Linked DNA regions of Elephas maximus indicus. The protein of the gene in region 3 interacts with the protein of the main gene of each other region in a pairwise test. Links are inferred from orthologs where the notes say so. Each region holds a gene or a part of one and is shown on either strand. Other genes may lie near its edges.

Region 1 (10,029 bases), on a different chromosome or scaffold from region 3:
TTAATGGCAAAATAGGCAACAATTAACATTAAAATTTAAATACAGACTTCATAAAACCCATGGCCAAAATTATTTCACATGATTCAACTTACACTGACTCTTCAATAGGAGATATGGACCCATCATCATCTAAGTATTTGTATCTACGACTATCAAGATCTTCTTTTTCTAAATCTTCGCCAACATTCATTTGTTTCAAAGATTCCTTGAGGTGGTATTCATACTTTAGTTTTTCAATGTAGTTGAAAAATCCTCTTGCTACAGCTTGCTATAAATCAAAAACATATACTAAGACATGGTCTTTCAAAATATATTTTCTTTCATGACTCAGCAAATGACTATATTCAAAAGGGGGCAAGGATTCCCTTACCAAGAACTTATAATTACTGGTCATGGTTCATTCATTCAACTGTAATTAACACTGCCAGGGTCACTGAGAAAATAAGACCAAAGGTTCCTCCCAGAAGCCTCAGTGACAATTTTATCAAGTAGCTAAAGAATAAGTATACTTTGAGCGGAAAAGTAGTTAGTACAGTATCAAAGCTACAGATCGGATGAACACATAAAAAGCTGAAGGGAAAATATACTCCAGATATCTTTAGAGAATTCTAAAAGTGGCCAAAAAAACTTTAAGCTACAACCTTAGCTATGTGCACAGACATATTTAATGCTGACTCACCTCAAAGGTTAAAATTTTTTTCCAAGGAAGTGGGTTTCTTCCATTCTCTGATTCTAAAAACAGGAAAGCAGATCCTTTATTTTTTAATTGTTTTTTGTCTATTTGTGAGCTTTTAGTGCTTTTCCTTCCTTTTGGTCTTCCCCTTGGTCTTCCTGTTGGCTTATATTTTCTCTTTTTTTTACGTTTCCTTTCCTTATATCTCTCAAAAACTGCTTTTAAAGTCAACGGTCTTGGTTCCACATAGGAATCGCTTGATGAATCTCTTGCCTGAACACTTTCAGATGAATGAACAAAAGTCCTTAGAGGGTTTTCTTGCCTCCGCTTAGGTGAGGAAGGAACACACTGAGTTTTAAATAAGCTGCTACCAGAAGATTCAGAGTTATCACTAGAAATAAAGAAAAAAATTGCATCCTCATGTTACTGAATGCGATTATTAATAACCTATCCCAAATAGACACTCCTCCCAAAGACCAAAGCAGGGATACATGCTCAGTATAATTTCACTAAAAAATGGAAGAGGCAGGGATGGGGCCAGGGTAACCTAGCCATTGAGTTCTGACCACCCTACATAAAATGGCCCACACAACTCTGGGGATTCAAACTGCCTACCTTTTGGTTAGCAGCCTGAGCTTTTAGCCACTACACCACCAGGACCCCCAACTGGGGGTGTATATGACATACCAGACAAGTATTTGATGAGAATATACTAATGCTGACGAGCCCCCACAATTCACGAAGTACTAAACACATAATTCATATACTTACGTCAGCATTCTACATTATGTGGAATATCTTAATGGGTTGATTTTTATGCAACATTCTCCACTGATGTCCATTTACTTGATATAAAAAAATGAGGCAACTTATCCAGGAAGTCAGATACTTTTGAATCAAAGTAGTTGTAATAACTCAATAAAATCACATAGATTTAATCTAATTTTGAAGGTCTGTGTAAATCAAGTTTTTCTTTCATCTTTCCTAATTTCTGAAAATTAACTCTTACCACTACTAATATCTACAACGATTTGTTTTCCTGGTAATTCGAATACAGTAAACATTAATGGAATCTACTGCTGAGATATTCCAGTTTAAAACAGTAACAGTTGATCTAAAAATGCAGACTTACCTATGATCCTCAATTTCTACAGCAGTAGCTAAATCAGATGTCATTGTGTAGCTGGGAGAATCCATTCCTTAGATAAATACTCCAAGTCCCTCAAGTCAGACTGTTTTATCCATCACCCGTTCCTTGCTTTAAGGGGATAAATTTCTGAAAATATAAATTCAGTAGATGTGATATAGCTTCCCTGAATAAACACTAAACTTCAGCACATAGATAGCAAGTATCTTAATACCGGAAATTTTGAAGTACTTTACACCATTAGCTGTGAATTTAGGCACAATCACTTGATTGAACAGGCCTTTAAAAGCTTCTCATCTAGAAAACAGTTTCACATCAAACTCTAAAAATGAGAAATTGCACTGACAGGTTCTATTCTGTCTTTCCAAATCTATTCAATGGTACAAGATACCATCCAGAAAAGTACTGTCATTCCCAGCAAAAGCATCCAACGTCATTCTAATTACCAATAAAAACTGTAATTTCACCAGGAGCCATGAGTAATATACAATTAATAGCCAAAAGGTTATTTCCCAAGATAGATAGGAACTCCTAGGAAAAACTGCCAGAAGGTAGACTGTGGTTCAATAGGCCTCAGTACACCAGGAAAAAGTCATCACCATTTACACCTGGATTCCATCACCATTTTCAACATCTGGTCTGGGACTTCACTTATGGTCTCTTAACATTAAGTAATTATGAAACCTTTTTTTGGTAAACGTTCCCATGTTGTCTTCATGCACAGAAACTGAGAATTGTGAATTTTCATTTCTTTCAATGAAAGGCTAAAACAGACTACTGAAGGAGCCCTAGTGGCGAAGTGGTTATGGTGATAACTGCTAACCAAAACATTGGCAGTGTGAAACCAGCAGTAGCTCTGCGGAATTAAGACATAGCAGTCAGCCTCCTAGAGATTTACAGGAAACCCTACTGGGTCGCTAGGAGTCAGAATCGGCTCCATGGCAGTGGGTTTTAGTGTCTTTTGTGGAGCCCTAGTGGCGCAGCCGTTAATAACTCAGCTGCTAACCAAAAGGCTGACAGTTCGAATCCACCAGCCGCTCCTTGGAAACTCAACGAGGCAGTTCTACTGTCCTATAGGATTGTTATGAATCAGAATCGACTGGATTCGAAATGAGTTTGATTTGGTTTTTGTCATTTTACAATACTTCACATATAATGCAATTGAAAAACTGAAAGATGATTTCCTAAGCTCATCTTCCTTACAGGATGCCATCATTCTATTTTTGTATTATTTTAGCACATAGGAGTCCCTGGGTGACAAACTCTCAAGTGCTCTACTAGCCAAAAGGATAGTGGGAGAAACCCACCCAGAGGAGCCTGAAAACCACAGGGAGCACAGTTCTACTCTGAACACATGGGGTCTCAGATGGCAACAAAGAACAAGTCTTCAGCGTACTTGGAAATCGACAAACTGCGTAACGATGCAATAAATTGTCATGATAAAACAGCAAAATGTTCCAAGTCTAGGGAAACAATAAGTGCTGCAATCTAGAAACTTGTGAAACTGCCCAACGGACCCATGCGGTAATCTCAAAACAGAATTTTTAAAGATTTTTTAAATGCAAAATTCTAAAACCGCTAATAAGCTATGAAGTACCAACTGCTCCAAATCAAAACCCCAAAAATTTGGATCCAATGGACCCTGACAGTATACCTGGAATTAAAACACACACACACACACACACACCGAGCACTCACCAAAATAAAGCTAATTTAAGTCACTTTATCAGAACCTGCTCAACTAGCATTCGTACTTGTCTTCCCATCCAGGGATTTTGCGGTTCTTCGAAGCCACGTGGCAAGCTAGAGCGCTCGGCCAGATCTAACACAGAGCACCCCCACGACCACTCACAACCGGGTGACCTTCGGCTAGGCCTCCGGGAACACCTAACCGCACGCCAAAAACTGGCGTCAGAAACATGCCGGCGTTTGGCATACATCTTAACAGCTACATACCAGACCAACGAAACAGGCCCACAGGCGATAACCGCGATTGTTCGGGACTCTGTCCGGCCATTAGGCCCGGGGAAGCCCTCCACCCTCAGGGCCTGATTTCCAGCGCTCGATTTCCCCAAACTACGCGGTGGTCCCGAGGAAAACTAGATCAGCGGCCTCTCCCCCGCCCACCAGACTGGTAGGAAGCAAACGCCCGTAAGCACTTCAGCCCAGGCCTCGGGCCAGAAGCCTCGGGTTGACGCGGCGGAAGTGTCCCTGAAGTCTGTACCTAGCACCCAGCAGCCTCCCGCTCCAACACGGCACCGCGCAGAAAACGGCCTACCTCTCTCCAACCGTTCGGAGGAAAGGGAAGAGCTATCGCGCGACCCGCCTAAGAGTGGGGCCGAAGTCTCGCGATACAACTGGACACCCGGGCGACAGCGAGAGGTGGGAGGAGATGAGACTCCCCGGAGCCATTTAGATCAACGCCAGGGGAGGTGTGATAAGAAGTAGGCGGAGCCTGAGGTCGTGACGTCAGGAGGTGGGGTTGTCGGAGGGAACGGTGAAGATTAAGTTGAGGCTTCCTAGACCGAATTAGGTAAGTGCAGTAGCCAAAAATATTTTGACAAACGGCAAAAACAAATTGTGGGCGAAAGGAGCGGAATGGATGTGAACTGCGAGGAAAAAAACCGTGAATTGTTTCCGGTGGTATCGCATTCGCCCTGCTGTCGTCTGACTTTCTAAAGCCTGGTACCGGATGGTGTGTGTTTTTCTTACATGCCAAGCTGTAGAATTCTAGGTTGGCAGATGAGTTTGGGTTTCTGTTCAGGAATGTGAAGCATCCCTTTTTGGCAGTTTTTGACATAATACTTTTGCCTTCAAATATCTGTTCTGTGTTAAAATATTGGGAAAGGTTCATGGTTTGACCGTTATCGAAATGTGTAACCTTTGTCCTGGACTCCAGTCTTACACCATAGCACACCCAGTTTCCCTCCAGACACCTTCAGATTCGTTTTGTTAGCCTCACCATTCCTTCTAAACTAAGGGTCAGCCTCCCAGGAGTTGGTTAATATACCACGAGTTACCCGCGGAGGAATTTTTTTTTTTTTGCAGTTCCCTCACCCTCCTCCCCTGAAAAAAAAAGTTCCTTGACCGGTTGCGGAGTGTTTAAGGTACAGCAGCTAAACTAGTTGATTTTTTTTCCACAAAGTAGTTAAAAAAAGAATGAGTCGGTTTGATTATTTTCCGCTTTCTTGTATAAGCAGTGATGTTGTCTAGTCTCCGTTTATAGTCAGCGTCATCCCAGGATTAGAAAGAACTTTAAGGGTAATCTGGTCTCTTTACCCCATTTGGCGCCAGATATCGAACAGCTTCAGGTATAGAAAGTCTGATTCTGTAGGCAGCCCACTGCATTTGACCCACGGAGTCTATGCATGTCTTATACACTGCCCTGTTCAAGGAGCATACCCGGCTATAGAATTTATGAGGCCCAGTACAAAATGAAAATGCAGGGTCCCGTGTTCAAAAAGCAGGGAAAAAGCTTTTCCTTCCGTGGTCTCTCTCGACTTGTTATGTTTTTTATTTGCTGTGTAATGCCATTCTAAGTAAAGAAAAATAAAAATTTAAAATTGTTGGCATGAATTTTATCATTTATCTTTATATTGTGCAATGCCAGTATTAAATACAAATCTAATAACATTTAACTCTTAGGCAGAATCACTGAAACGTCACAAAATTTGTATTTCATAGCTCATACAAATGTATGTTTTGTTCTAGTAAGAAATACCTTAGAACAGTAGAAACGCTGTGTAAAGCTAACTCAACTGTTTTTATTTCAGTTCTTGATACTTGCACGTTCTGCCAACACTCTGGAAGCCAAAGATTTTGAGGCTTACTGAATTCCCATGCATCTTGGGTCCATGATTCCAACTCTTATCAATGCTATTTATCAGAGTAGAACTGCACCTTAGGGTTTCCAAGAATGTAAATCTTTACAAAAGCAAATAGCCACATCTTTCTCTGGAGAAGCAGCTGGTGGATTCAAACTGCTCACCTTTTGGTTAGCAGCTGAACACTTAACTAGGGATCCTCTCTGCTCATAAAAACCAAAATCAAACCCTTTCCAATCTAGTGTATTCTGACTATAGTAAGCCTCTAGGGCAGAGCAGAACTGCCTTATAGGGTTTCCAAGGAGTGGCTGGTGGATTTGAACTGCAGACCTTTTGGTTAGCAGCCAAGCTCTTAACCACTGTACCATCAGGGCTCTTCTCTGCTGCTTATAAAAAAACAGGACATCACAAATGCTGTCTGCAAAAGTGGTGGCAAGGACCCATGGTGGGCATGCATGTCGCAGTGCTCTCCTCTGCTCCTGTGCATACCCTGTTGTCTCTTTGGAGTTTATTTGCAAAACCCAAGTTCGAAGACAAAATTATTTAAAAAAAAAAAATTTCAAGATGGTGACAGCAGAACATTTAACCAAGTGCCTTTCTGAGTGCATGGCCCTGTGTGACTGCACTAGTTGCACACCAGTGAAGCTGGCCCTGTACCAGAGCTTTATGAGTCTGGTGTGTTGTGAATGTAATGCCCGCTGTATGCTACAAAAAAAAAAACAAAAAACCCAAACCTGTTGCTGCAGAGTGAATTCCAACTCATAGTGACCCTATAGGACAGAATGGAACTGTCTCATAGGGTTTCCGAGGAGTGGCTGATGGATTCGAATTGCCAGTCTTTTGATTAGCAGCCAAGTGCTTAACCACTGTGCCACCAGGGCCCCCAATGTATGCTAGGTACTTGGAATACAGATATGAGAAACATAATCCTATCTTCAGATCACAAACTATGGAAAAGAGAGCAAGCAAACAGATGTACATAGATAATACTTTGAGTGCTATAGGATAACTCTGTACAGATTATTCCTTATTTTCAGCTGAAATGTATCAGTCCTTCACCAGTTAACCAGCGTGGAACAGTGTCATGAGTTCTGGTTTTATAGTGGGCTAGACCTGGAATTCTGTTTCTGCCATTTGCCAACTTAGTGAACTTAGATAAATAATACATCCTCTCTGACCTATTTTCTCTTTTGTGAAATGAGAAACATAATACCTCCCTGTCATGGTCGTGAGAGGTTTTGAGAGAATGTCTGGTATAAGGCTGCGCTCAGTAAATGGTAGCTTGGTTGCCATAGTTGGTCTACCCTTTTGGGGTGTTCTTTCTGCAACCTGACTTACCCAACTGCCTCCTATTTCTATTCCCTATTCTAAACTCAATTTCTGGGCCATTAACTCCAACGAATTGTATTGGGAGGGTAAATATTGTTTGCCTACATCTGCTCCAAGGCTTTCCTCTTGGAGCCTTTATGAATTTATATTAAGACCTTTCTAACCCCCTAGCTCTCATCACTCAAACCCTAACAACCCCCTGCCCTCACACACATGTACACACACATACTACTACCACACTGCCTTCTGTGCTAACTGTTGGCCTGTCTGAAGTTGTACATTTCTAAATCAATCATTCAGGCTGTAGCCTTGCAGGGTTGGACTTTGTTTGGGTGGGGAAATAAAAAACTGACCTTCTAGAGTTAGTAAAGGGTATAAAATTAGGATTATATTTGAATTTTCATTTGAGTAATTTCTACTGCAAACAAAGATATTGAGTGCTTTTATTATCCTCATAAATAAAAGCTGGTAAATGATAAAGCACTAAGTGCTAAATGTATGCAGTACTATGTTTATAGAAAATACTTGTCAAAAATGATCAAAACTAGAAACCCAGTTTCTAGGAAACCTGTGAATCTTTGGGGAATTAAAAAAAAAATTTTTTTTTTTTTCAAGTGATGTTGGGGGGCCAACCTTTCACTTGCTAAGTAAGCTTGTTAAAGTCAGAGGCTAATCCAGTTAATGAAGTGTTTTATTAACAATTTTAACAAGAACAACAGTGCTCTTAGAAACTCCCATAAGGGTTTTTTTTTCTTATTCCTTGTCGTGACTGGCCTAGTGTAGGATTACCCGCCCACTTCATATTGCGTCTGTTGTTTGTGGAGTCTTTTTTGGCTTCATTTTATCTCCCTCTGCTGGTACACCTCCTCATCATGTGAACCCTTGAGGTAAGGTATTAATCGCTGTGTATGTTTTTATGTATGCCTATTTATTGGTACATGCACTTAGCATATATTTTTAAAATACCAAATTATAATTGGTTAAAGATTATCAGAATAATTGAACAAAAACCTGCTTACTATAAAACGTATATTTGTAAATGAAAGTAAAAATTTGAATTTCAAAAGCTGATTATTTCTAGAAGTTTCCATCTCTTTTAGTACTTTAGATTTTCTTTTGTAAAAGTGATACTCTAAGGAACTGAATTTTTAACCTAAATGTCAAATGTAGAGTAGAACACACCAATCATCTATTATAGAAATATTTGCCAGTACCTTTTGCTTCAGGACCTGTATTCCTTACACCAACCATTAAATCGCATGTCAATCTTTGTGTATGACTAAAAAAAATGAATCACATGTGATCTCTTGGTTTGGAGTTTCCCCTTCCCAGTCTGTTTAAAATGACTTAAAATATCAGTATTAATAAAGAGTTGCTTGTGAGAATAAAGTGTTAAGAGATATGGTTGCCTTTCTGTATGAACAGAAACCTAAATGCCCTTTTGTCCTCTTTTAATAACTAAACTCTGAGTGTTCAATTCCAGATCAGCAGCTGTTCATGTTTGGTGCACTGTGGACTCTCGTGAGAATTAGCCTGCAGTAGCTTTATCTGTACAACCTTACACCTAAAGAAGAAAGAAAATGGCTTGTGTCGAGTCTCCTTTTCATGTGCCAAGCCTGGAGGAGCTGGCTGGAGGTAAATACAATAGAAACTCGTTGTCCTTTTCCGTGTCTATTCTGTACTATTTCTATTCAAAAAGTCTAACCTCCCCCCGGCAAAAAAAAAAGCTGTTAGAGCAAAAATTCACCATTTATAGATTCTTGGTAAGATCCCAGTTTTACAGGAAGAAAATAACCATAGTAATCTAAGTTTTAAATGTGTGCGATACCCAAAGAGTTGTACAATTTTGTGTTTTATTATCATTTTACCAGTTACAATATTCGAATATATAATCTATTATTGCATACTAACCATGTTCCCAATATAGTACTTTTTTTCCCCTTCTCCTCATGTGACAGACTGACAACGAACTTCCTTAGATTTCTCTCTGAAGTATACTTTTATGTGTATCACCTTGTTCAAACAAGAATTTAAAGCAGCTTTTTTCAAGATAACACATTGAAGGAGGAAAGATAGATAAGAAAAGGAAAATATGAATACAGATGGAAAGTGAAGCCAGGAATAGTTCTAATTCAAAACTGCATGGCCTGTCACAATGTCGACGCTTTTTTTTTTTTGAGCCATTAGGTTCTATTCTGATGGTAACTATAAAGCCTACCCTTATTGCTCAAAGTGTATCTGTCCTGAAGAGGTTGAAGTCAAAAAGTATACTTATCTTTTGCTTGGTTGTGGCTTTTTTCTTAGAGCCTGCCTGTTTTTTTCCTTAAATTTATCAGCAGCTAGTGAACAATCTGTATTATTAGTGTTTTTTACCTGTATTTCTTTTCTATCAGTCTTTCTGCCTTCCCGATACAGTAGGACAGCTGGATTGTGATACAAATCTTCTCTTTGAGTGCCTTTCTGCCACTTACTTCTCCTGCATGTTTATGGTTTATTTTCCTTCTATATGTGTAGGATATATTCAGTACAAAATATGTAATACAAGTTTTTTGGCTCAAAATTTATTTTCGACTTTCAGTATTTCAGAATATCTTATAGCAAGAATATCTTATAGCAAGAACATGGTCCCTTTGTAATTGGTAAAAATAGATTTTACTATTTTCTACACCCTGAATCTTAATTTATATATTCATTAATTTACAGTTATTGTATTGATAGGGGGATTTTTCATTTTGGTTCCTATTCTCATACAGATAAAAGATCTGGTCAAAAAAAATCAAACCCATTGCCATTGAGTCGATTCCAACTCATAGCAACCCTGTAAGACAGAGTAGAACTGCCTGCCCCATAGGGTTTCGAAGGAGTAGCTGGTGAATTCAAACTGCGAACCTTTTGGTTAGCAGCCTAGCTCTTAATTACTGTGCCACCAGGGCTCCAAAAGATCTGATATGGAATGTTTATATGGCTAGATTTAGGATAACTTTGTGTTTTTAGAGTGTGTAATTCCAAAACAATAAACCATAATGTCCTTAAACCCAAAATGTCCCCTAAAGTTA
Region 2 (10,127 bases), on a different chromosome or scaffold from region 3:
CGCACCATACTATAAATATTAACTGTACAGTACGAACAGTGCTGAAGTTAGAGTCTTACATTCCAGATTCTCTGGGGCAGTTCTGATTTCAAATATCCTGTCCCATCAACTCCTTCAGTACATTTGTACTCTCAGACCATGGGTCCCAATGTTTGACTTACAAAGTATGATCACCACAAACAGCTACTGATGAGGCAAGTTACCCAAGTCTATTAACTAAAATCATGATGGCAGGTTGTTTTAATCACACTAGCACCTTCCCACAGCCCTCAGCACAGCGCCTTACACTAAAGGCCCTCATGTAAATACGGGACTGAATACAGGAAATAGAGAATTTTGAGTTTTCCAAGGCTGAGAGATCTGACCAGAAGAAAGGCATGAAGCTGGAATATTTAGAAAAAGTCAGGATGGTGAGGTGCAAGACATACCTACCCCCAACAAGATCTTTTAAAGTTACTTAGGACTATGACAATATTTAGGGCTATGATACTCCTAGGAAGGAAACAAATCTATTTCTGTGACAAAAAAAAATTTTTTCCTAAGCAGAGAAAGGAATATCCCCCTGCTTGGCCTGTAGCATAAAAGCTGACTGCACAGTTGTCACTATACAACAATCACCTCTTTCCTCTTCTGCTGTTCCTTTACTCATGTATTCTATTCGTTTCTCTTCTCTGCCCTTGTTGCCAGTCCATTCCCTCTTCTGTGCTCTTGACAAGGGGGACCCAAACAAGAATCCCTGGGAAACTTAAAAAATATAGATTCTCAGGCCCAATCCCAAACTTTCTGAAACAGAAGTGTTTGGAAACCGCTATCTTATATCAATTAATAGCACTCAGAGGCTCCAAAGACTTTAGGGGATACCAAGTATTAACCTCATATTTCAGATACAGAAACTGAGGCTCAAAAGGTTTAAAGGCTTTTCTCATGGTCAAAGATGAATTGCCAAACTTCTCTTTTTTTTTTCCTTTTAGGAAACAAACCAATTATTTTTCACTCTTTCTAAATAAATAATATGTACATGCACATATAAAGCAAAATGTCTAGTACTGAATAGCTGTTTGTGATTGAGAAAAAAATGTTACAAACTGATTAACTAGCTTAATTGCGTACTTCACAATTCAATCATTTTGGAGTATATGTAAAAAGCCAGTCCATCTGTAAACTCTAAAGTCAGATACTCAAGAAAAATTTTTAAAAATCTGACCCAATCCCTACTCCATAAGCAGACTAGACAGCACTTAGCTTACTTTTAAAATACTTGCCTAAAATGTATCATATAAACAAATGCATGTTCGCTAAAAGTCTTCTAGAATTATATCAAAACGACACTGAAACCTATTTGCTGAGAAAAGCCTACAGAATTTAATTCCTGATTTGAACTACCTAGTTAACAGTGCAGAACATTGCTGAGTGAGGAGGATCTGAATACAGATGTGGTTGACATGAAGACCCAGAAAGAGTTCCCATCTCCTCTTCAGTAGGCCATGATCACACTTTAGATAGTCTTTTGACGGGCTGTTTGTAAATGAATCCACTTTACAATAGCTGTACGCTTTAAACTATTTATGACAAACTCCAACAGCATTACTGTTCTCTAACTAAAACACACTGATGGTTCAGAAAAGATTTCTTGCAAAATACATTAATAAATGTCACTGCATATTCTGTAAATACATTTAACATTGTTAGACCAGCCCATCAGTTACGGGCTGCCGTATTTCAGTACTTGTGTCAAATTTATTAGAAATTTTATAAGAAAACTTCTGATTGACTCAGCTGCCTTTATTAGCTGACTTTAAAAAGTGTCACAAAATGGAAGACAACACCTTACAATAAATATGTGGAGTTGATTTAGAAAAGTAAACTGTACAGTGGACAATATTACTATCAGAGTGATCACCAAAATGAAATGCCTTCCAGTACAAAAAAAGGGAAGACCTCTATACAAGCAGTTATCTCAACAATTCCAATTAAAGATTCATCTCTCACTTGTTGCTGGCAAAAATTAATGGGTAATGGCACTGTTTCCCAGCAGTGCAAAAATATCCTGAGAAATTACTCAGATTACAACAAAAGAAACAGAGCTTTTATCCTATGGTTCTGCACAAAACAAAGCTACTAGATATCATAAATAAGCTAAGTTTAAAAGCAGATAATCTTCACTGTGTTAAACACAGAATAACAGAAAAAAGGTGTCTATAACTTTTGAGTTAACTATGGCCAATAACGGAAACTCTGGTGGCGCAGTGGTTAAGAGCTAGGGCTGCTAACCAAAAGGTCCGCAGTTCAAATCCACCAGGTACTCCCTGAAAACCCTGTGGGACAGTTCTATTCTATCGAATAGGGTCGCTATGAGTCAGAATCGACTCGACAGCAAAAGGTTTGGTTTTTGGTTTCAATGGCCAATAATATACAAGGAGATAATCTGCAGTTCAAGTTTTCCTCTGTTTTCTCTCCCAGAAGTTACAATCTGAATTCTAAATTTTACACCAAAACATACAATTCCAATTTCCAAAAAGATCTTACTTGTAGAGGAATGCTATTCCAATATTTGGTGCAATCCTGATACAGAGCCCAACAGTCCTACAAAAAGTGAGCTTTTAAAAGTAAACCAAAAAAAAAAAAATCATTGATTTGTAAACTTTCACTTAAAGCACAATAAAAATTATTAAAAAATATATATATATCAGCGGTAGCCCAAAGGTCCTAGCTGTCCAGTTCTGCAATTCTTCAATGGGCTTGAGGGGTAAGCTAAAGGTAATAAGCACTTTACTTTCTATAATTCATTTTCTTGTTGGCATAGTCACTTCTACAGTAGCTCATATTCCTGACACTGGGAACTCACAGCATCTCTTTATTGAGCAAGCAAAGGAAATCAAGTGGACAATGGGGAACCACAGGATTTCCATCTTCACATCCCCGGTTAATGAGCTCATTCATTTAATGACTGTGTATTTCCAAGGTCCTTTGAATTCCCATACCCTCACCAGTTTTTTAGCTTAGGTACTATTTTTTAAAACTCTTTCCAGTTTCACTAGATAAACTTGTAAATGCCCTTAAGAACTGTGAACTCCTGGTAACCAAAGATTATATCTTATGATGCTTCTTGGAAAAAATCTCATCAACAAACCACAGACTTCCTAACATACTCCTTATCTTCCCCTACCCCTATCCCACAGAAGGAGAAATGGAAATTGTTATAAGGGAGTTAAAATTATCAAACAAACACACACACATAGACACAAACACAGGGTAAAGCCATACCAGAAATTAAAATACACAAAACAGTAAGCTAATGTTTCCTTTTACTGGAGAGGACAGTTTAGCAGGAGGGGTAAAATCGCTTAAATAACATAATCCACTTCCAATCTTAACAATCATATTTAAAGAAAGAGCACCAAATCTGGAGGCAGATGACCAGGTTCAAGAACATCTGGGCCAATCTCTTGGTTGTGGGATCTAGGTTAAGTCACATAATCTGAATCTCATCATAACTTTCATTTCACAAGTGGAAAAACTCCCAGGGTTGTTGAAAGGGGCCAATGAAAATCTTTGAGAAAGCGTCATAAACTATAGGGCACTATAACACTGCCTTTTTTAATCACACTCCACATTGTCTGGTTTAGGTATCAAGACACCACAGTGAGGATACACAGCCACAGACCAAAATAACTAGTTCATTAGAATCATTTCAAATGGCCTGAAACACACAGGTCTTGTGCAAAGACTGTGCAAGGCAGTCCTGGCAGCTTCTACAAGGAAATTATTACACCTGTGCTTCTGACGTGACAGGTAAACTCCTCGTCCAGATTAACCAGCTGCCCCTAGAGCTGATCCCTCTCAATCGCGTAGAAGTCATGATAGTGATTCAAAGGGCACCACTTCCGACTGTGAGTCAGTAAAAGGGCTTACCCCCCCCAGGGAATGCCAATGGTCAGCACAAGGCCCCACGCCGGGCACCAATCTCCGACGTGCGCGAGGGTCCGGTCCTCCCAGGCCCAAAAACCGATGGACCAAGCCAGGCTGGCGGTCAGAAGCTGCAGCGCCAATTTTACAGCCGGCCCGAAGCTGCGACCCACGGGGTCACCTCACCAAGCACCCTCGTGATATTGGGAGGGAGTGGGCCCAAATGAGCCCATCAGGCCTTCCTACCTCCCTGCTGAAATATCCTCTTGAAAGCGGCGTCTCCAGCTTTCACCCTTACCTGTCACTTTCCCCACGCCCGTCCCTGTCCCCCGGTTCCACTCCTTGGCCCCGTCCCCAGCGTCACCCCGCTTCCGGCTGCCCCCCACCCCGCAGCGCCCCGGGCCGGCCCTTCTCTCGCCGTTGGTTGCCCCCGAACCCCGGCGCCGCACCAGGAACGCAGCGGAGGGCAGTACCCGGGCGGAGGTCAGGGCCCGCCGTGGGGGTAACGCGGCCGGATGAGCCCGGGAGGAAGGCCTTGGAGGACGTGAGCCACTCACCAGCCACGGGTGCACTGCGCCGGTCCGTCAGTGGCACCGCCGCCGAAGCCGAGAGCGCGAGCTTGGGGGCGGTCGGACGTGTACACGCAGCGCGTGGGGGCGGGGTCTGTGGAGCCTGTGCTGCGTGGGGCGGGGCGTGGGAAGGATACGCCCCCTGAGGGGCCGTTTGCCAGGAACCGGACACGCAGCCCTGGTTTGGCTGTGGAAATAGGGATGCTTCAGAAAGAATGCTAACATTATTAATAAGAGCAAATGTTTATGAAGACGCCTCTGGGCTACGCGCTTTGCTTGCCCAATCTCATTTAATGCTATTAGATCCATCCAGTTATGCAAGAAATCGAGTCGTCAACCTTAAACACCATCCTCTTTTCCTTTTGCCAGTTCAATCCTTCAGTTCTATGCGGCCCTGCTGCAAACGTATTCCTCGACTCTGCACGCTTCTCTACATCTCCTCTGCCACCAGCCTTCTATCTGGTCTCCCAGCGTCGGCCTTGCCTCATTCTCCAAACAGCAACCAAGGTGATCTTTTAAAAGTCAAAATCAGAGCATTACTCCTCCCCTCTTGCTAAAACCCTTCCACAGTTCCCCATCGCTCTTAGGACAAAGGTCAAAATCCCAGCCATGGTCTACAGTTCTCCTCCCCCTGGCTAGACCATGCCACCACCTCTTCAGACTCACCTGACCTTCCCTCCACCTGCCCTTTCTGCTCCAGCCATACTGACTTCCACTTATTTCCTTAACCATCAGTCAGCATACAGATTAAAAGATGCAATATTCAGCTTTGGCAAACCTCCTACATGCTGTTCGTAGGAGTTATTGGAGATGGAGAGAACAATTTGACAAGATCTGTTAAAATTTAGAATGTGCACACTCTTTGACCCGCTTCTAGGCAGCTATCCTAGAGGAATACTTGCAAGAACTCCAAGAAAGTAACAAAGAAGGGTCATTACAAAACATAATAAGAGACTCCATTTTTATGAAAATTTTGGAACAACCTAAATGTCCATCAAAAAAGGATGAGAGAGTTGGCAGTGGTCATCCATTCAACAAATAAGTTGTGCCACAATTTAAAGAGGGGGGGCAGACCTCACGTAGTGAGGACATGGAAAACTCTTCAAACATAAAGTAGAAAAGAGGAAGGAAAAAAAAAGTCGTAGGAAAATACATTCAATAGATTCCACAGCACATAAATTAAACTAAAAAATTATTGAACACTAGTTAATGATGTGAATGATAAAGTTTTTAAGGGCAAAGAGTACTAGCGCCTGCAACTTACTTGGAAATGCATCAAAAGATTAGATGGTTGATAGATGGTTAGATGGAAAAAGATATCTGATAAAACAAATATAGCAAAATTTTAAAAATTAAAAAAATGTAAGTGGTAGGTATACAGGTGCTCGCTGCACAGCTCTTTCCACTTTTCTCTATACTGTACTTACAAGTTTTCAATAAATTTTTTTGGAAAATACACTCAGTATTGATATGGATTGAATTGTGTCCTCCCCAAAAGAAACATCTTCCACACTAACCCCTATACTTGAAACATGATCCTGTTTAGAAATAGAGGCTTTCTTTTGTTTTTAATGAGGTCATACCAGATCCCTTCTGAGTGGTGTCTTATAAAAAGCAGAGGGGACACAGAGATACACAGAAAGGGAAGACAGACACATTTACAATCAGCCAAGAAATGCCTGGGATTACCCACAAGGAAAGACCCTCCCCTAAATCCAATGTTCTGATTTAGGCTTCTAGCCTCCAAAACTGTGAGACAATAAATTTCTGTTCTTTAAAGCCACCCACTCGGGGCAGCACTAGCACAGTAAAACAGGTTGATCTCTCTCTCTCTCTTTTGAGTCTATGAAATTATTATATATTTCTACATGTTCATGTGTAGGTATATAAATACATCCAAAAACCCCAGAACGTTTACACACTAAAATGACAGAGAGGTCAAAGTCCACTTTTGCTTTACATATACCATTTAAATTTTTTAATGAGAATGCATAAATGCGTTATGTATTACTTGGCTATAAAAAAATAGATTTTAAGAAAAGGAAGTACATTCTGCACTTCCCTCTTTTCCCTACTCTGGCCACATAAAATTGAATTAAGCTGAATGGCAGTGATTGAAGGAGCAGTTGCTGTGAGAGTTCAAATGAGATAATGTGGGGCTTAGCTTATGCCTGCCACTCGCACAACCCCAGTCAAGGGCTCCCACTGTTATCATGAGTGTATGCCACTGAAGTCCTTTGTCAGATACAAAGTCACACAGAAAGTGCTGAATCATGATAGGGTGCACCAGCCAGTAGCTAATCTCTCCCCTCATGTCTCTGGGTTGTGGGTCGTGGGCTGCTTGGGGCCTTGTCTTAGTTACCTAGTGCTGCTACAACAGAAATACAAGTGGATGGCTTTAACAAACAAAAATTTATTTTCTCACAGTTAGGAGACTAGAAGTTCAAATTCAGGGTGCCGGCTCTAGGAGAACTTCCTTCTCTGTCAGCTCTGGGAGAAGTTCCCTGACTCTTTTCAGCTTTTACTCCTGGGCAATCTTCATGTGGCTTGGCATCTGTCTTCCTACATCTCTGCTTGTTCACTTGTTTAATCTCTTTTATATCTGAAAAGAGATTGACTCAAGACACACCCTACAATAATCTAGTTTTGTTAACATAACAAAGAACTCATCCGCAAATGGGATTATAATCAAAGTAGGGGTTAGGATTTACAACACATATTTTGGGGAACACAATTCAATCCATATCAGGCTTCAAAAGGCAAGACCTTTGCCCCAGCCTGTCAAGCTGCCAGCCCACTTCTGGAAAGTCTCTGGGCACCAGCACCACTGGCTGGCAGCCAAGGGTAAGCCACTTTTTGCCTGTCCTGATTTCTAAGCTTCAGGTTCAGCAAGGCCAGAAGGCACTGGGGTTGCTCTGGTCCTGACGCGGCCCTGGAATTTTACTCTTAATTAAACATGGGCATGTAACCTAGGCAATTAAACTGGGTCTCATGCTCAGAAGAACTTTAAGCTTGGTTTAATGCTTTGCTGTTGCCATCTTGAAATTCTCAATCATTTTTTAACAAGGGCATTTCATTTCCATTTAGCAGTGGGCCCCGCAAATTAGTTGCTGGTCCTGCTGGGGACCTTCTTGTTTGGATTTATTTCCTTAAAACAGAGGCCTGGGAACTTTGGATTTTGTGGTTTAACTCCATGCAGCTGAAGAAAAACTGTTACCAGAATAAGGTTCTTGCCTCTCTGGTCAAGAATGAGCAGGTAATGTTACAGGGCAAGGCTTCCCAGCCCAGGACTAAGCCCTGCCTAGGTTCTTACCTTCTTCTGAGCAAGAATGACCAGGAGAGCCTCAGAGGTTCCACATGAAAAAAGTTTATTAGGGACAGAAAGAAAGTAAAAGGCTCATGAAGGAGAGAGAAGGAGAGGGGTTTCCACCTACACTAGCCTCCAGTCTCTCACTGAACAAACGATTTCCTAGGACTTATAAAAGTTCTTAGGAGGGGAAAAGGCATTACTTTTATTCATTAAATGAGTGGAGATTTCCAGGAGAAGGGGAGGGATTATGAAAATCAAATGCGCACGCAGTTAGAATTCAAGATGGACTTCCTGACAGAGGTTGCTGGAACCAAGATGGAGGCTGTCACAAAGGCTGTTGGGATGTCGAACAGGACTTATTCTGGGATGTCGTGCATGCATGATGCCCCTGGATCTTGGTTCGAGCCCCAGCGAGTGGTCTTTGTTCGTGTTTGTCTTACGTGGAAGGTCATTCATAGCCCACGCCGATCTTTACCATGCATGCGCTGCACCTAGTGAGGCCTTGAAAAACAACTGAGGAGAATTATCAGTAATTTATAGCTGGTCAAGAACACAGGGGCTTGAAATGTAGCCCCTTATCTTGTCTAAGCACCTAGTTTGTTAATCACAAGTAGTTCTTGGGTGCCAGCAATAGAAGTTATCTGGTAGTCTGCACTTAGGTTTAGATTTAATTATAGCTGGTCGAGCACCACACAGGGCCTTGAAACGTACCCCTCATTTAATTCAGCCAGCCTGATCTCTTCCGTCTCTGTGAGGCACGTAGAGTTTTCCACAGGAGCAAAGCTTTATTGAAGAGGCTTGCAAGTAGAAGACAGGCGGGCCTAAGCAACCCATATCCCCATCTCACAGAACAAAAGATCCGCCCGGGGTTTTTAAAAGTTCTTGGGCGGGAAAAGATTTATGTTTATTCACAGGCATACCCAGGGTTATGTTAACTACAGCGCGCGGGCAGCAACTTTCCAAGGTGGCTGCTGCCCTGGAGGCCTCTGGGATTCGTAGCAGGACTTACTATGGGGCGCCGCGCCTGCGCAGTCTCCTGGCTGCCACTGCAGCCCTTCACTGCCCCTGGTGGAAGGTCACACAGTGGTCACAGGTGGATGTTCTGCACATGTCCCTGGGGCTGGTTTTCTCCAGCTGCTTCTGAAAGACTACTTTAAGGTTTATGGGCTATTTTCTGATACCCTGCCCCATTGTTCTGGGGAATGGCTTTGTTTCTGCACCCTGGCCCATTTCTTGTTACTTTGTTTGCAGATTTGGGGGGCTCTCTATTCCCTGTCTTAAAACCTCATCTTTTATCAGATTGATTTGTACTTCATTTTTTTTTTTTTTTTACCATTGACTAGGTATTTACTGAATTCCTACTATGTGCTGGACAATGTACTGGGAGGTAGAAGTACAGAGACAAACAAGACATGGTACCAGCCCAGACTAGGGGTCAGGGAGGGCTTCCTGGAGGAGGAGATGCTTATATGGAATTCTGAAGAATGAGTAGAAGTTAGGTGGTGGTCTAAGCACAGAGGCATGACATACTATGGTATGGAGGAGACTACAAGGGATAAGGAAAACCTGGTGGGGCAGTGGTTAAGAGCTAACCAAAAGGCTGGCAGTTCGAATTCACTAGGCACTCCTTGGAAACTCTATGGGGTAGTTCTACTCTGTCTTATAGGGTTGCTATGAGTTGGAATTGACTGTAACAGGTACAGGTACAAGGGATATACACAAGATAAAAACAAATAAATGTTACCTTCATTTATAAATACAAATATAAGTAAACATAAATGCATGCTTATTAAAATAATACAGTGCATGCATTTTATAATAAATAAAGATCGATATTTTACATAAATAAAATAGACAATACCTTGTAGGTTCTCTCTATCACAGGACTATAAAGTCAAACAGACAGTTTTAGTTTGGTTTCACTTTTTTTTTGTTTTAAATAATATTTTATTGTGTTTTGATGAAGGTTGACACAGCAATTTAGATGCCCATTCAACAATTTCTACACAAATTGTTCTGTGATCTTGGTTACATTCTTCACAATGCTTGAACGTTCTCATTACTTCCATCTGGTTGTTCCATTCCCATTAATCTAGTTTCCCCGCCCCCTTACATTCTCATCTTTGTTTTAAAATAATTGTTGACCATTTGGTCTCATATATGTGATTTTAAAAACGAGCACAGTACTTACGGGTGATGTTCATTATTTTTTAAGCCAATATGTTATTTAGCTACAAGGTGACCTCAGGGGTTAGTTTTGGTTCAAGGTTTTATTACCTGGTGGAAACCCCAGGTCCTGCTCAGTGCAATCTGAATTGGCCAATAAACGAGAGGCCGAGGTG
Region 3 (10,018 bases):
GCTCCTATTCCAGGCCTGAGGGCTAGCGGGGTTATTCAGGGAACTGAGGAACCCAGGGAAGGAAGATCAGGCTGGGGTGAGGGAACAGCATGAGTTTAGCCGCTGCCACCTTAGGTCTGCAGCTCCCAGTTAGACCTGAGCTTCCCAGGGACAAATGTTGCACCTCCCTCACTCACAGTGGCTAGGACAGAGCCGTGCCCGACCACTGCCTAATGCATGATTCTGAACTGCCCCCTGTCCCACTGCCTCAGGGAGCCAGGTCTCTGGCAGCTCTTGGCTTCATTCTTTCCTCACTTTCAGCCTCCTCCCTCCCCTCACCCCAAATAGCAGTAGGGGCTATCAGAGAACACCAGAGCTTCTGTTTAGCATTTTACAATTTGCACAAAGCAGTTATTCAGCTGTTGCTTTGCTTGATTCTTGTAACCCCTGGAGAGGTCAGCAGAGCCCAGACCCAAGATAATGAGTGCCCATTTTAAAGATGAAGCGAGTGAGGTTCAGAGAGGTCAAGGAAGTTGCCTAAGCTCGCACAGATAGAAAGAGCCAGAGCTAGGACTTGAACTTAGGTCTCCAGATTCCAACTTCTGAGTCCTTCCCTCCACACCTAGGGAACAGTCCCTCCCCCAGGTTATAACATCACGTACAAAACTGCTCCACACATTCCAGAATAAGCATCTGCTCCTCCTCCTCCAGGTTGTCGAGCTGGGTGGCCTGGAGGCAGGGAGAAAGGAAGGGGTATGGGTGTCAACCTTCTCCACCCATGGGGGGCCCCCCTCCCCCATCCTCACCTCCTCTCTCAGCTGATTATTCTCCTCCTCCAACAGCCTCAGCTTCTGCTGCAAGGCTTCCAGCTGTGGGCAGTGGTGCTGCGACTCCTTCAGAGGAATCCTAGGGGAGGGAGTGACGGGAGTCAGCGTGCACGGAGTAGGGGTACCCAGTTCCCAACCCACCGAGGGATTCCCCACCTATGCTAAGTGTGGCAGTCCAATTCATCCCAGCAACACTGCTGGCAGGCACACTGGCTGTATGCCTATTTACAAATGGGAAAATAGGCTCAGAGAAGGGACCATCCAGGTGCAAATGCAGGACACTCACGGCTTGGGGGTGTCATGGGAATAATCACACTGCTGCTCTTCCTCTCCCTCCTCTTCCTCCTCTTCCTCTTCCTCCTCCTCCTCTTCTTCGTCCTCCTCTTCTTCCTCCTCCTCTTCTTCCTCATCATCAGAGTCTGAGTAGAGCTGAAGGAGGTCATCCCGCAAGCTCACCTGGTGTCTGAGGTGTAAAATCTGGCAGGAGGGGAGAGGAGCCCTGAGTTGGGCAGCAGGCAGGGCAGGAGGCCAGGTCCTGGCATGAGGGGACAATAGGTAGGTCTGAGACTGCATACCCCTCCCTCCTACCCTCCACCCATTACCTCCTTCCTGGCTGAGCCCAGCATGGCTTCCAGCTTGCTGTTCTCCTCCATCAGAGCACTGTTCTGTTTCACCAGGGACTGGCCAATGCGAGCCGCTGTACTCAGGTCCCGCTCTCTCTGCAGAGGGACCATCACCCATGAGGAATACTTTCCTGGTTCCCAGGATCTCCCAGACAGGTGGGAGAAGCTGGGGGGCACAGGGGTCAGAGAGAGGCTAGGCCACAAGGGGAAACCCTCTCCATTCCCTAGTTCTCCAGACACTAATCAGGGTCTGCCATTAACCCACTGTGGAACCTGACTCAGTTTCCCCTTATAGAAAAAGAACAGATCAGACTAGCTTGGCTCTAAGAGCTCTTTCAGCCTGGACCCCTACCCCACAGGACAGAATCAAAATGAGGGCCAGGGGCTAGCCTGGGAAGGGAAGGCAGCACACACCTCCTCCAGCAAAGTTAACATCACTTCGACATCTTCCTGGGTGATCTTCTTAAGTGGTGGGGGTCGGTCAGAACACAGCACTGTAGGAGAAGGCAGGATGGTGAGAAAAGTCTACAAGTGCCCCCCCACCATAATCCATTCCTTCCTGTCCTATCTCTAGTTTTCCCTCAACAAGGCCAGCAGGCTGTTCCCTACCTGCCTCCCAATAACCTCCCCTCACCCCTCAGTACTCAGCACTCCCAGACTGAGCATCATTTTTTCTGGAGAGGCCTGGGTGGGGCAATGGCGTCACTAGGGTTGGGGTTACCCAAGGCAGTAACTCATCCTGTCACCCCCCCCATGCTAATTACTACAATATTTTAGCTAAAACACCAGGAAAATTGACAAAAGCAGCAACTATAAAAACATTGGTAGCAACGGAAAACAACAGCACTGAGCGCATGCAGACGAAACCACGTGATTTGAAGCCATCATTGTAATTGGGTAATAATTACAGCTCTAACCAAAGCAGAATTAGAAGTTTCAAAAAGTAAATTAGCATAGAGTTTTAGTCTTTGTAGGCGTATTGATACACGTAAGCTGGGCTTACGAAAAACATTTTTATTTTTTTACAAAAAATATTTTCATTGTGATAACTAACTACAGCGAATTTGTTTTTTTTTCCACAAGTATCATTTTATGTCTTATAAAAAAAAAAAAAAAAGTCTTATAGTCCAGTCTAATCTTTATTGGTTGGTTTCAGGAATAGTTTTAATTCTGGGTTAACAGAGAGTCCAGGGGCCATGTCTTCTGGGGTTCCTCCCGTTTCAGTCAGATCATTAAGTCGGGTCTTTCTACTAGAATTTTGAGTTCTGCACGGCACTTTTCTCCTGCTCAGTCAGGGACTCTGTTGTGTTCCCTGTCAGGGTGGTCATTAGTGGTAGCCAGGCACCATCTAGCTCTCATGGTCTCAGGCTGATGGAGTCTCTGGTTTATGTGGCCCTTTCTGTCTCTTGCACTAATATATTCCTTGTGTCTTTGGTGTTCTTCATTCTTCTTTGCTTCAGGTAGATTGGGACCAATCGACACATCTTAGATGGCTGCTCCCCAGCTTTTAAGACCCCAGACACCACTCACCAAAGTGGAACGCAGAACATTTTCTTAATAAATTTTGTTATGTCAATTGACCTAGATGTCCCCTGGAACCATGGTCCCCAGACCCCTGCCCCTTCTACAGTGTCCCTAGAAGTGTTTGGTTGTGTTCAGGAAACTTCTTAGCTTTTGGTTTAGTCCAGTTGTGCTGACTTCACTACAGGGATATTTTTATAAAAAATAATAATTTTTGCTGAAACACTGCACAAAAATTCTGTAGACATTTTGGTGTCACCCCCGCTGACAGTGTCATTTGGTCCACACCCCCCTCCCCGCCGCCCTAGTGACACCACTGGGGTTGGGGAAGGGGATCACAGTCCACCACGCTCAGGTGGAAGTGGGCTCTCAGGACGCCTGGGTCCTGGCACCCAGGAGAACGGAGGCAGCTGGGAAGAGACAGCCGGAAGACTGATTCATCACCCCCGGGCCCCAGGGCAACCTTGGCCAGCCCATTGGAGCCTTGTGGGTCATAAAAACAGTGAGGTTTGCGCAGTCACCCACCCCGCACCTGTTTGTGGGGGGAGGAGAGAAGGAAGGGACTTTTCTATAGCACTGGAGGAGGGGGGACCTGAGCCTAAAGGGCCCCAATTCACAGACCTCCCCCTACCCCAGTGGAAGAAGAGAGAAAAGAGGAGACCCTATGCCCCGCCCACCCCCGGGCTGGGGGAAAAGCCCGCCCTTGACCCTGGAAGCCAAGAGGGTGGCAAAACCTCCCCCTCTATCCACCCACCACCCCCTCTCTGGTGAGCGCAGCGGCCAGCGCAGGCTCAGAGCTCGCCGGCAGCGCCTCCGCAGCCCCCCGCCTCTCTCCTGGCACTGCGGTAGACTGGGGAGGGGGCAACAACAGTGCGCAGATGCGCCGCGGCAACAGGCGGGCGGGGGGGGCGGGGCCCTGTACCTCAGCGACACTCCGCCATCAGGGATGCTAGAAGGGGGAGGAGGAGATGGGGAAAGGGCCACCAGACAGGCACCGCAGACAGTGACATCGCAAGAGTGGGTGCAGGGGTGGGACTGAGTGGCAGAGGAGGCGGGGCGCCTGGCCCCGATCCAGACCCCTCCTCCCTGGAGCTGCTCTCGTCCTACCCGCTACAGGGTCCCGGGGACCCCGTTTACCTTCCTCCAGCTCCCGAACGAAGGCGGCGCGCTGGGGGCCGGACACCCCGGGCCGCCGGCCGATATAGGCAGCTGGCGTCTTCCAGATGCCCGCCGCCTTCTCAGTCCCCAGGCCGGCAGACCCGGCACCAAAGGACCCTTGGAATATGAAGCGGGTCCACGGCGCGTCCGAGTGTCCGGGCACGGACTGGACATCCCCCTGGATGGCCGAGAATGAGGACGCGCGCGGGGCTCCCGCCTCGGAGGCCGGGCGAGCACCGGCTGGGGGTCTCGACCTGGGTCGGGACTCGGAGGCTGCTCCGGCTGCGGGTCCAGCCCCGGGTTCCTGCGCCGGAGCGGGGTCGGTCTCGGCCGAGGGCTCTGGATCGGGGCTGGCTTCGGGCTGGGGTGCAGGGGCACCTGCGTCTGGATCCGCGGAACCGGGGCCTTCCCCGGCGCAGGCCTGCTCGGGGTCGTGCGGGCGCATCCTGAGTCCGCAGTCGGCTGCAGCAGCCGGGACTTTATAAACTGTGTCTGGAGCGGCGGCCGCCGGGCCGTACCACACGCTGGGAGGGGACGCCGAAGAGCAACCAGTGGTGCTAGGGACGGGGGTGGAGCGGTGGGGGTGACCGTGCCAGAACGGATGGAAGAAATCAGGAAAAAAGGGCACGAGGAAGAGTCGAGCGAGGGTTTCAGCTGGTTCCACGGGCTTGGGGGTCGGAGAAAAGGATTTCTCCCCCCTCTCCACCTTTGGAGAATGGTTCCGCCCAAAGCCCCCCTCTTCCCTGGGACTCGGGTACAGCGACTGGCGCGGGTCGCCAGTAGGGGCTCGAAATCCACTCCCACCAAGGGGGTTTTCAGTTGCCTTCCCTGATGTGTTTCCACCCATCCACCAGCCAACGCAACTCTTTAAATATGGTCTGGGGCGACCTGTGAGAGCAGTGGTTTGTCTTTTCCCGTTGACTGAGAGAGAAATCCAATCTCCAGGCCGGCTTTCAACTCCCTGCCCAGCCTGGCGCGTCATATTCTTTCCTCGTGCTTTGCCTTCTACTTCCCTTTTCCCACCTCTTGTCAACTGGGCAAACACCTGTTCTTCCGAGTGACCCAGCTTTAACGTCCCCTTCTTGTGAAGATTCCCCTGACCCCTGTAGTGATCCGTGTCTGTCTCCAGGACAAGGCCTGCGCCCCCTCAGGGCGGAAACCGTGTCCTAGGTACGCAGCACAGGACCTGAAGCCCAGGCAGGTGCTAAATGAACTGTGGAACCTCAGAGGAGTCCAGTGGCTATGTCTGTGCCTTTGGATGGGAGGAACCTACAGGCCGAAAAGAGAGGGCCGTGGCCCTGATTCTTTTCAAGTCGTGGGGTCATTCTTGGTGCCCTCGTTTCCTTCTCCTCAGCTCCTAATCACTCACCAAGTTCTGCTGAATTTGTTGTTGTTGTTGTTAGGTGCCCTCAATTCAATTCCGGCTCATAGTAACACCATGTGACAGAGTAGAACTGACCCATAGGGTTTTCTGGGTTGTAATCTTTATGGAAGCAGATGCCCAGGTCTTTCTTCCACAGAGCTGTTGGGTGGGTTCAAACCACCAAACTTTCAGTTAGCAGCCGAGAGGTTAACCGGGCTCCTTCTGCTCAGTTTACCTCCTAAATATTTCTCAGATGTGCCCTCTCCTTTTCAGCCCTTCCACTGTTTTCCAAGTTGAGGCCTCAGCCTTTCTTCTGAGATTATTGTGACATGCCCTTCGTGGTTGCCCTGAGGAGAGTAAATCTATCTCTCATACTTCTATCTGAGCTAGGGAATTCCAGGTGCCCCTACACACAGCCCCCACTCCTAGCCTAAACCCAGAACAGGGGTTGTTGCCCATGGCCTGTGCCTGGGACTTCTAGCACTTGACAATGTGCTTTTGGGGCCAGGTGTCCATGACACAGTATGGAACAAGAGACATGACCCAGGAAGGAGGATCCAACTGTCCCTTCTGCCAGTTCCCTAGCTGGTGAAACATAAGAATGTTTTCTTCTAGGTAGTTTCATTCATTCATTTGACAAAAATATGTGTTGAGTGCCTGCTATATATGCCAGGCACTGTGCTAGACTGTTGGGTTAGAGCAGGGAATGAGAGAAACTGACCCCTGTTCTCTTGGAGTTTAGAGTTAAGGGGGCAAAAGTGGAAGCAGGGAGGTCTGTAGGAGACTGTTGCAATGTGCTACAATCATTGATGTGTAAATATAATTTTGTGTTAGAGTCACTTCAGCACACATCTTTAGCCATTTCATATCACGTTACCTCATCCATCCATGCCCACATTTGTGTATGACCAGGATCTTTGCCATCTCTTAAAATGAGGTAAACTTTACGAGCAGTGAAATCCTCAGATGTTAAATGAACTGTTCAGTCAGTTTCAACAAATGCATATCAAGACGGAATGTTTCCATCAACCGGAATGTTTCTTTTTGCCCCCTTCCAGTCAGTTTCTCACACCCAGAAGCAGGGCTTCGAACCAGTTCTGCCTGGTTTAGTCATGGACAACAAAGTGATACCTGAAGGGACTCAAATTTTTTTAAATGTGGGTAAAGTGGAATGGGAAAAATTATGGGTTGAAATCTTGCTGCTAGAAACTTAATCTCCATCTTAGAAAACAAAGGCAGCGTGCACACTGCATAGCAGCCAAATCTCTTGGCTGGCAGAGTTGGAAACAGCACTGCCCTGATCAAAGACGGTGGCCAGCCTAGCTGTTTTGAGTATGTGTCTCTCTCCACAGTCCTGGCAATAATCCAGTCTCCAACTTCAGGCTCCAGAAAGGGCTCACTTTATTTCTTCTGAGTCTCCCATTCCAGGCCTTTGACCCATAATTTTTCCCGTTCTGCTATTGTTCTACTTCACCCAATTTTTTTTTATTGTACTTTTGATGAAGGTTTACAGAGCAAACTAGCTTCTCATTAAACAATATATATATATATTGTTTTATGACATTGGTTGCCAACCCTACAACATGTCAACACTCTCCCCTTCTTGATCTTAGGTTCCCCGTTACCAGTTTTCCTGCCCCCTCCAGCCTTCTCATCTTTGCCTTTGGGCTGGTGTGCCCATTCAGTCTCATTTTGTTTTATGAGCCTATCTAATCTTTGGCTGAAGGGTGAACCTCAAGAGTGACTTTAGTACTGAGTTAAAAGTGTTTCCAGGGGCCATACTCTTGGGGTTTCTCCAGTCTCTGTCAGACCAGTAAGTTTGGTTTTTTGTTTGTTTTTTTTTTTGAGTTAGAATTTTGTTCTACATTTGTCTCCAGTTCTGTCTGGGACCCTCTACTGTGATCCCTGTCAGAGCAGTCAGTGGTGATAGCAAGGCACCACCTAGTTGTACTGGACTCAGTCTGGTGGAGGCTGTAGTAGTTGTGGTCCATTAGTCCTTTGTGTCTTTGGTTCTCTTCATTCTCCCCTGCTCCCAATGGAGTGAGACCAACAGAGTATCTTAGATGGCTGCTCACAGGCTTTTCAGACCCCAGACACTACTTACCAGAGTAGAAGTTAGAACATTTTCTTTATAAACTATGTTATGCCAACTGAGCTAGCTGTTCCCTGAGACCATGGACCCCACAGCCCTCAGCCCAGTAATTCCATCCTTCAAGGAGTTTGGATGTGTCTGTGGAGCTTCCATGACCTTGCCTTGGACAAGCTGTGCTGGCTTCCCCAGCATTTCATTTAAATGCAATCACATAGCATATACTTCTTTTTTGTATGTGGCTTCTTCTACTTAGTATAGTATTTTTGAGATTTATGCATGTTTTACATGATTCAGTAATTTTATTCCTTTGTGTTGCTGAGTACTAGCCCTTTGTCTGGAGAAAGATATGGCAGTCCGCTTCCCTAAAGGTTTACAGCCTTGGAAACCTTATGGGGCAGTTCTACCCAGTCCTAGAGGGGCACTAAGAGTCAGAAACGACTCAGTGGCAATGAGTTTGGTTTTTTTAGTTTGGATCCCATTATATGGGTATACCACAATTTACTTATCTGTTCTCCCCTTGATGGATATCTGGATTGTTTCCAGTTTGGGGCTACTGTATATATAAATCTAGGCTGCAGCTCCAGGACTCTTCTGAGTGGCTCCGCTCCAGCCTCCAGCGCAGCCTCGTGGATCATCTCACTGTGTCTTGTACATACATCTCTGCAGCCCCAGCATCAAGCACAGACCTGGGCATACAGTAGGAGCCTATTAAATTCCTGCTGAATATATGTTTGCTGAATTGAATTGTCACTGTCCTATGAGAAAGCAGCCCTAAGGCCCTCTGAGAAGTTTGGGGTGAAGAAGGACGTAGGGTGGAGAAGAGGTGGATAAATCTGGAGGAGCTGGTGGGCCTCCAGTTCACCTCCGGGTCACGGCATTGGCACCAGGCAACTCTGGCTGACACCACCAGAGGGCAATGCCAACCCACATCCCCATCCCACACAACTCCCTCAACCCACAAGAGGCTAAGTAGGGAAGAAGGGCCTGGCCATCTACTTCTGAAAATCAGCCAATGAAAACCCTATGTGGATCACAAGAGCCCAATCTGCAACCCATCACTGGGATGGCACTGGACCGGTCAGTGCTTCATACCATTAATGACAGCTAACAACAACAACAACATAATGGAAAGACCAAGAACGGACTGGGTTCAAATCCCAACCTGCCACTTGTCATTTACTAGCTTGACTCCAGCATGCAGCCCTGCCTTGCTGAGCTTAGTTTCTCTGTGTGTGAAATGGGCATAAAAGCACCTACCTCACAGGGTTGGTTTGAGGACAAATGAGGTCACCGTGCAGTTCCATTTTAAGTGCTCCATCAACAGCAGTAACTGTTATTAGTGCAGAAGACAGACACAAACAGCCCTCCCAGCAAGGGCCCTGCTAGCACAGGGTCTACATAGTGCTGTGTGCATGCACGGAGAGGGAAGGGTTAAATCCGCTGGGGGGTGGGGAGGAGAGAGGGCTGTGAGCTGGACCTTGAGGGCTGTTAGCTCCTTAACCACTCCTGGAGGAACAGGTGTGATTCCAGGCACTCCCGGCCATTCCAGGCATAGGAACATTACCGCAGGTGTCCCAATGCCACCCCTGCTCCCAAGGGCCCACTGGGAGGCCTTGGGTGACTTCATCAGCCCTACCATGGAGCCCTTTTTCCCAATAAGTGGAGGAATCTCTCCCCTAGCCTTCCCACCAGCTGGCCCTCGAGTCCTTGCTTAAATACTTTTAGTAGCCTTCATTCTAGAAAAGTCTTCTTTCAGACTGCTGCTTTGAGCAAAAATCTTCCTCTTTGTAATACTCACCCCTATGCCCAATCCCACTTCCTAGTTTCCAGTTCTCCCCTCTGGGGACCCCCAGAATAAGGCTGTACTCTTGTGCTCTGAGGACATCTAATAGGTCTTCTGCTCATTTGCTCTTTTCCAGACCACCCATCCTCACTGATTTTATCTGGGACACTCCAGGCCAGCCCAGGGTTACCAGTGGGGCCACGACCTCAGGCAGGCTCAACTCAGGATCCCAACCTTGGGGCTGGGAAGTAAAGTGTTTTGGGATTTAGAGTCAGGCATTCTGGGTTCAAACCCAAGCTCTGACACTCACCTGAGTCTCCAGGACTTGTCCTGTATAATTTACCTTCATTTTACACACCTGACAGGGCTGTGGGGCTGAGATTGTGCTGAAAAACAGCACATAATGAGGGCTCAACAAATGGAAACTGCTGTTAATATAATTGTGAAAAACAGCAGACTTAGTAGGCACTGCCCACTGCCTGTTGCCGTCACGTCAGTTCTGACTCATAGCGTTGATAGGCCATCACTTGAATTTCCTCTACCGCAAAAGTAAAACGTAAAGTAAAATATCTCCAACTACAAGGCTGTAATGAGGAAATCACTTAGCGCAGAGCCGGACACAAAGAAAGCTCACTCAGTGATGGGTATGATCAGTGTCAGTAGTCACTGCCT

What was found.
Region 1: the proteins of HAP1 (region 3) and TAF1D interact in a two-hybrid assay, tested with the Homo sapiens proteins (2 studies listed by BioGRID and IntAct). The link is inferred for Elephas maximus indicus from reciprocal best matches to the Homo sapiens genes HAP1 and TAF1D.
Region 2: the proteins of HAP1 (region 3) and HMOX2 interact in a two-hybrid assay, tested with the Homo sapiens proteins (2 studies listed by BioGRID and IntAct). The link is inferred for Elephas maximus indicus from reciprocal best matches to the Homo sapiens genes HAP1 and HMOX2.

Annotation. Positions count from the first base shown.
Region 1 is NC_064825.1:27,236,519-27,246,547, reverse strand, and holds the start of TAF1D (TATA box-binding protein-associated factor RNA polymerase I subunit D), read right to left. Parts: upstream 4,203-10,029; 5' UTR 4,099-4,202; intron 4,087-4,098; exon of another isoform or gene 3,777-4,086; intron 1,950-3,776; 5' UTR 1,871-1,949; coding exon 1,806-1,870; intron 1,065-1,805; coding exon 680-1,064; intron 269-679; coding exon 93-268; intron 1-92. Other genes in the region: C7H11orf54 (ester hydrolase C11orf54 homolog), read left to right, coding at 8,554-8,608. UniProt on the Homo sapiens protein: Component of the transcription factor SL1/TIF-IB complex, which is involved in the assembly of the PIC (preinitiation complex) during RNA polymerase I-dependent transcription.
Region 2 is NC_064830.1:62,537,824-62,547,950, reverse strand, and holds the start of HMOX2 (heme oxygenase 2), read right to left. Parts: upstream 4,526-10,127; 5' UTR 4,464-4,525; intron 4,405-4,463; exon of another isoform or gene 4,380-4,404; intron 1-4,379.
Region 3 is NC_064837.1:48,767,332-48,777,349, forward strand, and holds the start of HAP1 (huntingtin-associated protein 1), read right to left. Parts: upstream 4,563-10,018; 5' UTR 4,554-4,562; coding exon 4,088-4,553; intron 1,924-4,087; coding exon 1,844-1,923; intron 1,526-1,843; coding exon 1,409-1,525; intron 1,284-1,408; coding exon 1,093-1,283; intron 886-1,092; coding exon 786-885; intron 709-785; coding exon 642-708; intron 1-641. UniProt on the Homo sapiens protein: Originally identified as neuronal protein that specifically associates with HTT/huntingtin and the binding is enhanced by an expanded polyglutamine repeat within HTT possibly affecting HAP1 interaction properties.